Neurospora crassa OR74A: one gene and its partner. The main gene of each other region encodes a partner of the protein of the gene in region 2 in a complex. Links are inferred from orthologs where the notes say so. Each region holds a gene or a part of one and is shown on either strand. Other genes may lie near its edges.

Region 1 (3,851 bases), on a different chromosome or scaffold from region 2:
GATTAGGGCAAGACGAATAGGAGTTAGAACCGAACCTGGGGGTCGGAGAGCGAGATCGTTGGGTGCTTGAGAGAAGGAAAGAATGGCTCGGCTGTCGGTCGATGACTGCAGCTGTTTTCCTGGTTCGTGACCAAGGACCGAGACAAAGACAACGATTAAGATGGCTTCAGGTCAGCTTTCCTTATGTCCCTGTCAACGGTGGAATGGTTGGTGAAACGATTGTTTGCTTATTGCTTGTTACCTATTGGTCTTTTTCTTCTTCTTCTTTCTCTCCAGCCGGTAGGAATATCTTTTCACAATACCCATCTCCCTATCTTACATCTTACGGTTCATTAGATCGATTGTTTTCATTTTCTTTTGTATGGTTCAAGGTACTCAGGTTGCATTTGAGGATCGAGGGATGCACATGAAAGAGGTTGAGGCACTCGGCGCATTGGGGTTACCTTTTTCTAGATACTTACTCTACCTGCTATGGATAAAGGCAATAGAATCCAGGTAGAACCAGGCATGACAATCGTGAATCTGGTCAATCTCTTATGACGAATGGTAACCAGCATCCAGCTTTTGTAAAATCTATGGTAAACTCATTACTGCCTTTCGAATACATCTATTTTGCTGCTCTCTACGATCATGGCATGGGATATTCATCGTCCAAACACAATCCGTGACACAACCAACTGTTATCGTATCCAACTCGACAAACAGGTTGAACTCGTTCGATTCCTCTCTCTAAGGCCCTCTTGGATATACTACGCCCTTACTTCCTGCAATAGGAGTTCTCTAGGCAAAGAAACATGTATGGTACCAGGGAATTAGCGTTGAGTGCGCTCTCCTATTCATAGGTTCCAAGCACACACGCTACGCTTTCCCCTTCCACAAACTCCCCCTCCTCTCGCCACAATACTCTCATATCCCCTCTTTTCAAACTTCCAAAGATTCTGGGAGAATAATTGATGGGTCGTTGGAATGGTGATTCTCATGGCATCTTCTAAGTTACGTTGGTCCTAAATTTAGTTGGCCTCCTCGGGGTAGAGGTCCTCCTTGAGGGTGATGCCGAGCTCCTCACGAAGAGGCTTGAGCTCAGCGAGGTACTGCTCGTACTGGCCCTTGTTCTCAACCTTGGCCTTGATGCCTGTTATGACGGAAGCCCGTTGTCAGCATGGTTCTGGTTCCTAAAAGACCGTTTTGCTGTTCCCTATCCACCCGAGCTTATCGGACACCTTGGTATTGACGCATAGGCTGGTCGTCGATGGCTACGATGTGTGCGGGTTTCGGTGGCGGCAGTGATGGATGTTAGGACGGGGGCTCTTACCCTCGAAGACGCGGACAGCGGTGGGGAAGTCGTTGACGCGGCGGGCAGCCTTGAGAGCGGCGGCGAGAACGGAGGGGGAAGGGACGAGATCGTAAGCGAAAGCGTTGTTCAGGTTGCGCTAATTTCGGTATGCCAGCGTCAGTCTCACAGTCTCTTCCTTCCCTTGCCCCTACCCAACAAGTTGAATCATTGTTGTCCCTTGATCGATAATGCAAAAGGTGCGTCGTCGAGTAGGCCGTGAGAGTCGAAGTGGGACGGGAGCATGGAAGGTGGTGCATACCTGAAGCTCGAAAACATCCTGAACGGCATCAAACTCCTTCTCGTAGCTGTTGGAAAAGGCGCAAGTTAGGAATTGGGGAGTTCTCGAGGGCGCATGGAGGTGTTGATGGGGTGGCCCTGGCTGAGGCTGAGGGGAGGAGAGTCGGAGGCATCACGTCATAGTGAAGCCGAGCTAGGATAGGCAGGTAGCTAGCTCGGGCCTGGGACCTCCGGGGCTCGGAGAGGTAGCAGCTTCCCGGCCGGGCTGCCGGGGCAAAACTCACCGGGCAGTGAACTCCTCGAAGGTCTCCTCGTGGTGCTCGGAGCGGAAGCGGCTGGAGGTGCTGAAAAGGCTGACGCGGGCGGCGATGGGCTGGGGGCGGGCAACGGCGCGGAAGAGGCCGGCGGAGGGACCGCGGACGGCAGTGCGGAAGAAGGAGGCCATTGTGACGGAAGGACGGAGGGGGCTACTAGAAGATGAGAATTGAGAGCACACGGTAAGAAGCTGGAACTGCGAAGCGAGAAGACCGGGGGGGAAGAAAAGGCAAGGCGGTAATTGGCGGCGGAGACGGAGAAGCACGCACGTTACGTAGAGGGAGGTACGGTAGCTGAGATGATGGTCTCAATTAATGCTAACGAGGTTGAGGTTCGATGGTGTGCGACGTAAATGCTTGTTCAACCCAAGTGGAAGTCTCCGGTATTGCACTGCATCGGACCATTCGAATACTTCGGCTATGTCTTTTCCGGTTAGCTGACTAGCTGTGTTTTTTCCGCCCTCGAGGTACTTCTGGACAAGCCACTCGGTGGTCAGTGCACAAGCTCCCTAAGCTCACCTTTCCAATTCGTACATGAGCTTGGTATGCAATTGAACAGACAACAGCCCACTTTTCCGCACCAGTAGTGGCTGAAGTGGCTGAAACATTTCTTTAACTTCATAATGAGGCTGATGTCGAAGCAACAGAACGTGGGGTACCTATAACGCCTTCCTGCAGCGAGCCGGATAAATCGACTGTGTGCTCAGATGAATCCGCTGTGTGGAGCCCATACAAACTGACAGCCAAGACCCAAAGCTTGGCATCTCTCGCGCCAAACTTTCGCGATCGCAAGTCATCACCAAAATATCATTGTCTCGACAACGACAACGAAAGCTCAAAACGACTTTTTCTAAAGCGTTGAACTCTCATTTATATGCGGGGGCCTCTCACCGGCCCCCTGCACCCCCGGAACTAACCCTAACACCTAACCCTAACCACTAACCCTAACACTAACCTTGGGGGTAGCCCGCGAATTGCTATACAGTCGATTTATCCATCCAACACAGTCGATTTATCCGATCCGTCCTGCAGCGATGATGCAACCAGTGCGTGTTGCTCATGTCGGTCTTTCACACAATGAAGTGGTGTCTGTTGTTGCGGACATTCACTTCAACTCATCATCGTGTTGACCTTGATATCCCTCACTTTTTTTCTTAGACAATTCCCAGGATTGGGAACATTTGAACCGGCAAGCGCTGGAGATTTACGGATCAACCTATTTATCATCGGAAGAAATTGACTGCCAACCGAATGTTTTGACCGGCACATGGTCTCGTCATCTCAGGATTCACGGCTTGTACACTCGTGTATTTGTGGGTGGATGAATGATGGGCTGATCGAAAGCCAGTATGTAGTTCGGAGAGAGTAGAAAACGCGTCTTGTAGTATTGGTGGGTTGGGGTTGTTGAACAGGCGAGAGCCGCGAAACCTCAAAAAAATGGACTCGATTGAATCATTGAACAAACCGAATTTGTATACCCGCTGGTCAATGTCTTACCGTAGCACTGGGCCACCCCAGGTTGTGAGCTCAATCGCTGGAGGGCAAGCCATTCACCTTCTCTTATACGCACCGTTGGTTCGGGCTCGCCTGGGTGTTTGAACGTCCTCGTATCAATTTCCACGATATCTCTTCCTGATAACCAAGTTGTGAACGTCCTGCACTAGCTACTTCCCCAAACCTCGGCATGGACTCTACACTACTCGTTTGATCAAGAGTTAGCCCGTTGCGGCCCGACAGTTGACGCTCTGCATGATGAACGAGGTATCCGATGTAGGGGGTTGTAGCTATTTGGTGGACCTTGAACGGCCTAGAAGACTGCCCCCAAGTCTCGAGTCAATCATCGATCTCATCCGTGTTTCAACGGGCATGTTGATTTTTGGTAGGACCGACCCTTTTCGATGGAGCCCGCGTTGAGTCGCACCGGAACACTCACGAGATACGATTGATGAACCCCGATGTGAAATAGC
Region 2 (3,373 bases):
GGTTGGTCACGAGGGGACAGCCGCAGCAGGCAAAAACATCAGGACGAAGAAAGAGCATCTGGATGAGGCAGGACTATGAGTGGCGTTCTCGTCCCGAAGGCCCGGATGTGAAATCATCGCCCGTAACTCTTATCCGAAGTACGGGCTACCGAGTGAGATACGGCTGGGTGCTGGGAGCAGGGTAGCTTACCCCTTTTTCGGCCATGTCAAGTAAACAAACAAACAAACAAACAAACAGTGTCATTTCTTACTAGCAGCGAAACACCTAGCAGGGATCAAGAGACGTCATCCTGAAAAGGTGCTAGGCGCCTTAAAAGCTCGGAAGCTTCTTTCCGCGTGTGACGATGCTACTCCCTCAAAATCCTCAAATACCTCGTTTCATCTTGATATCCAGGAGCTTGGCCTCACTGCCCGAATCTAGCTATCCCCATCCGCTCACTCTTCTCTACCAAGTTCCATATCTCCCTAAACCCCCATGACCCCCATTTACACCGGACAACAAAACGAACGCGCCGGCTAAAGGAAATGATAATGCATTGTCAGCTGTACAGTATTTACACACCAACCCAAGTGTTAAGCGCCCCAAAGCATTCCAATGCCACCACTGTCCTTTCCCCCGATCCTCACAGACTCGTTTGACATGGCCGATATCCGAGAGAACGAAGGATGAGTCTACCCCTGAGCACCAATAAAAGTATGCGAAACTTATGCGCTGGCAGAGGGAGACTGAACGTGGCCCTTGCCGTTGTAGCCTTCGGAGGTGAGACCAGTGAGGGGGTCGGACTTCTGGGCCTGTTTGTTGGTGATATATGTGTTAGTTGATCTGGTTGCCAACAAAGAGCCGATATGAGCCGACGCACCTTGAGGAACTCGTTGGTAGCCTCTTGCCACTCCTTGGTCATGGTGGCAGGAGGGGGCTTGGCGAAGGCGCGCATGGTAGCGAAGATGACGAAAGAGAGGAAGACACCGGCGACAGTGTAGGCCAAGACCTTCTTCTGCTCGCCGGGAGGGGGGAGAGCGCGGGGGCCGTGGGGACCGAAGGCGATGTAGTAGGCTGCGTTGAGAGAGAGTACATGTCAGTCTTTCTGTGGTCTGGGCCTGCGTGTCTCTTGAGACGACCTTGATGGCTGTCATGGTGCGGTTTGTCGTCGGAGCTTCCCTCCTCTTCTCCTCCAATGTAGCGCACCATTACTCCCTCAGCCTTCTCCCAGCGTCCCCCAACAACCCATCAATCAACCGATAACCTCTAGGCCGACAAGATCCATTTCCGCCCAACGATCCCAAAGCTGTCCGGGAGCTCGTGAAGCTTGTTTGAAGCTCGGGGTTGTCGCAGAGTGAGGGTGACGGGGGGGAGCTTCAAGGCGGGCGTTGGTGATGCAACTAGCTCGGAGCTTGGACGGTCGAGCTCCACCCGGCATTTCGCCAACCTTCAACCTTCCACTTCTCACTTACCAGCCTTCTTCTCCTGGAGGGTAAGGTCGGCCCAGTTGCCCTTCATGCGGTCGCGGAGAGCCATCCAGAGCTCGGCCTGCTCCTGCATGGGCATCTGCTCCCATCTCTTCTCAATGTTGGCAAGCGTGGGGTTGGAGATGGGCATGGTGGAAGCGGCGCGGACGGCCATGGTGGGCTTGGCGGCGCGAACGGCGACGTTGCGCACGAGGGCCGAGACGGTAGGAGTGCGAAGCATGGTGGCGGCGGATTGTCGGCTGACAGAGATTAGGAAGTTGAGGAGGATTCGAAGTCGGGGGTGGAGATGGATCCAATTGAGTCGCCCGCGTGCGTGGTCGGAGGCCTGGAGCTCGATCGTCGACGGTGATTTTGTGCGAGGAGTGAAGTCATGCAAAGGACGAGCTTTTTTTTGGGCGAACGGGATTCGCAGGTAGGCGAAACGGGGATGCGGCCTCAGCTCGGAACTCGAGGAATGCCTGGGATGGCCTGATGCCCACTTTGCTCACCCCGAACGCAGTGCCCGCCAGTGAAAACACCCCCAAACCAGAGCGCTATGAGACTCGCTGTCACAGTTTACCTAGCTTGGGGCCCCGTATCTTCCCGGGAGCCAACTCACGGCAGGCTGACCAGGGCCGCCTGGCAAGTGGTGAACGGGCAGCTTTTGCGTGTCTGGCGCTCAGAAACGGAGCCCCTCACCTGGCAATTCCACACTCTTGACAGCTGGCACGGACCGCCTTCAGTTTCCACACCATGGACGTTTTGTCCTTGGGCTGACTGGAGTGTCCATTGTTCATTGTTGACTTTTGGATGACGACGATTCGATTCTCTGGCAGCTGAAAAACGGAACTCACATGCCAGACGTCACTGTCTCACAAAGTTTATTGTTTGCTTGTCCGGAGTGGGAGACACGACAGGGTCTTTAGACAGATTAAAGCCTTGCAGAGAGATATTTCATGTCATGTTATCCGCAATGAGTACAGTAAACGCGGCAGAACGAAAATGAAGCCTTGGATGCTTCGTTTCAAACGAATTGCTGTCATGAGTTTCGAGAAAACAAAAAGAGGGACAGCTATGCACCGACATATCCCTCCAAATATATATATATAACTCATGCCTTGGTCGATGGTATGATCACGATACCTAGTTGTTACTCTACTCCATGCTAGCATCCTACATCTCATTCTCTTTTCTCCCACTCTTGCTTCCTAATCTCATATGGAGAGGGCTTGGCCGGGGGACTGGTGTCATGTTAGTCTATCCAGTCTTAACCGCACTTGATTGTTTCAAGCTCATCTTCTCACCCAAGGTTTAGGCCTTCACGCTTCTCCTTCTCCGCCCGGAGACTGGGGGCAAATGTGTAGTATCCTGCAGAGACGTCAGACTTTATTCTTCCAATCACAAGCACATGCAACCAAAGAGCCCGGACCATTCACGATGCCAAAGGTTACTACCAAACCAATGGTGATGATCTTTTTGCCGTTGAGCATCTTGACTTTTTGTTGCTGTTGTTGATTTTTTTATGTCTTGGCTGATGATCGCCACTCAGTTGACCGGATTGAATATCAGCTTCGATAGTATATTCGATCTGGACCTTCACTCAGTTCGAGAACACTTCAGCGTTTCGTTGGGTCCGTCCCTGTAAACGGCAACAACGGTGCTGTACAGGGCAGTACTGTACTGTAGTGTAGCATAATCTGCACAGCTCCATTCCGCCGCCCGCCCGGATGCCATGTGCACTGTCTGTTTAACCCCGGTCCAGTGCATGCAAGCAATGACGCGGAGGCAATTGGAAATCATTAAACACAGCTAAGTAGCGCACAGACCACATTTTCTCCGACGGCGCGTCTCCCAGTGTTTGTGGACGCGTCTCAACCTTGAAAGCACTGCACGTTGCCTGCCCGGACGACCAGCCATTCGCCTCCTA

Evidence for each region. The genes of interacting proteins can lie anywhere in the genome.
Region 1: the proteins of cya-4 (region 2) and cox-6 are in contact, whole or in part, in a cryo-EM structure (PDB 8C8Q), measured with the Schizosaccharomyces pombe proteins. The link is inferred for Neurospora crassa OR74A from reciprocal best matches to the Schizosaccharomyces pombe genes cox5 and cox6. Residues at the interface, in NP_588158.2 of Schizosaccharomyces pombe: Gln74, Lys75, Gln76, Pro77, Trp78, Thr79, Ile83, Lys86, Lys87, Ala89, Tyr90, Ala93, Phe94, Arg100; in NP_593931.1 of Schizosaccharomyces pombe: Ala90, Arg91, Asn94, Asp95, Phe96, Pro97, Thr98, Ala99, Val100, Arg101, Glu104, Glu129, Leu130, Gly131, Ile132, Val133, Lys135, Leu138, Phe139.

The regions. Positions count from the first base shown.
Region 1 is NC_026505.1:4,303,993-4,307,843, reverse strand, and holds cox-6 (cytochrome c oxidase polypeptide VI, variant), read right to left. Parts: upstream 2,292-3,851; 5' UTR 2,155-2,291; exon of another isoform or gene 2,041-2,154; 5' UTR 2,016-2,040; coding exon 1,855-2,015; intron 1,639-1,854; coding exon 1,593-1,638; intron 1,431-1,592; coding exon 1,313-1,430; intron 1,133-1,312; coding exon 1,011-1,132; 3' UTR 567-1,010; downstream 1-566. Other genes in the region: NCU06696 (hypothetical protein), read left to right, coding at 1-6. UniProt on the Schizosaccharomyces pombe protein: Component of the cytochrome c oxidase, the last enzyme in the mitochondrial electron transport chain which drives oxidative phosphorylation.
Region 2 is NC_026502.1:1,656,470-1,659,842, forward strand, and holds cya-4 (cytochrome c oxidase subunit IV), read right to left. Parts: upstream 1,829-3,373; 5' UTR 1,688-1,828; coding exon 1,453-1,687; intron 1,055-1,452; coding exon 861-1,054; intron 793-860; coding exon 706-792; 3' UTR 517-705; downstream 1-516. Other genes in the region: NCU16537 (hypothetical protein), read right to left, coding at 2,627-2,687, 2,751-2,814, 2,876-2,936. UniProt on the Schizosaccharomyces pombe protein: Component of the cytochrome c oxidase, the last enzyme in the mitochondrial electron transport chain which drives oxidative phosphorylation.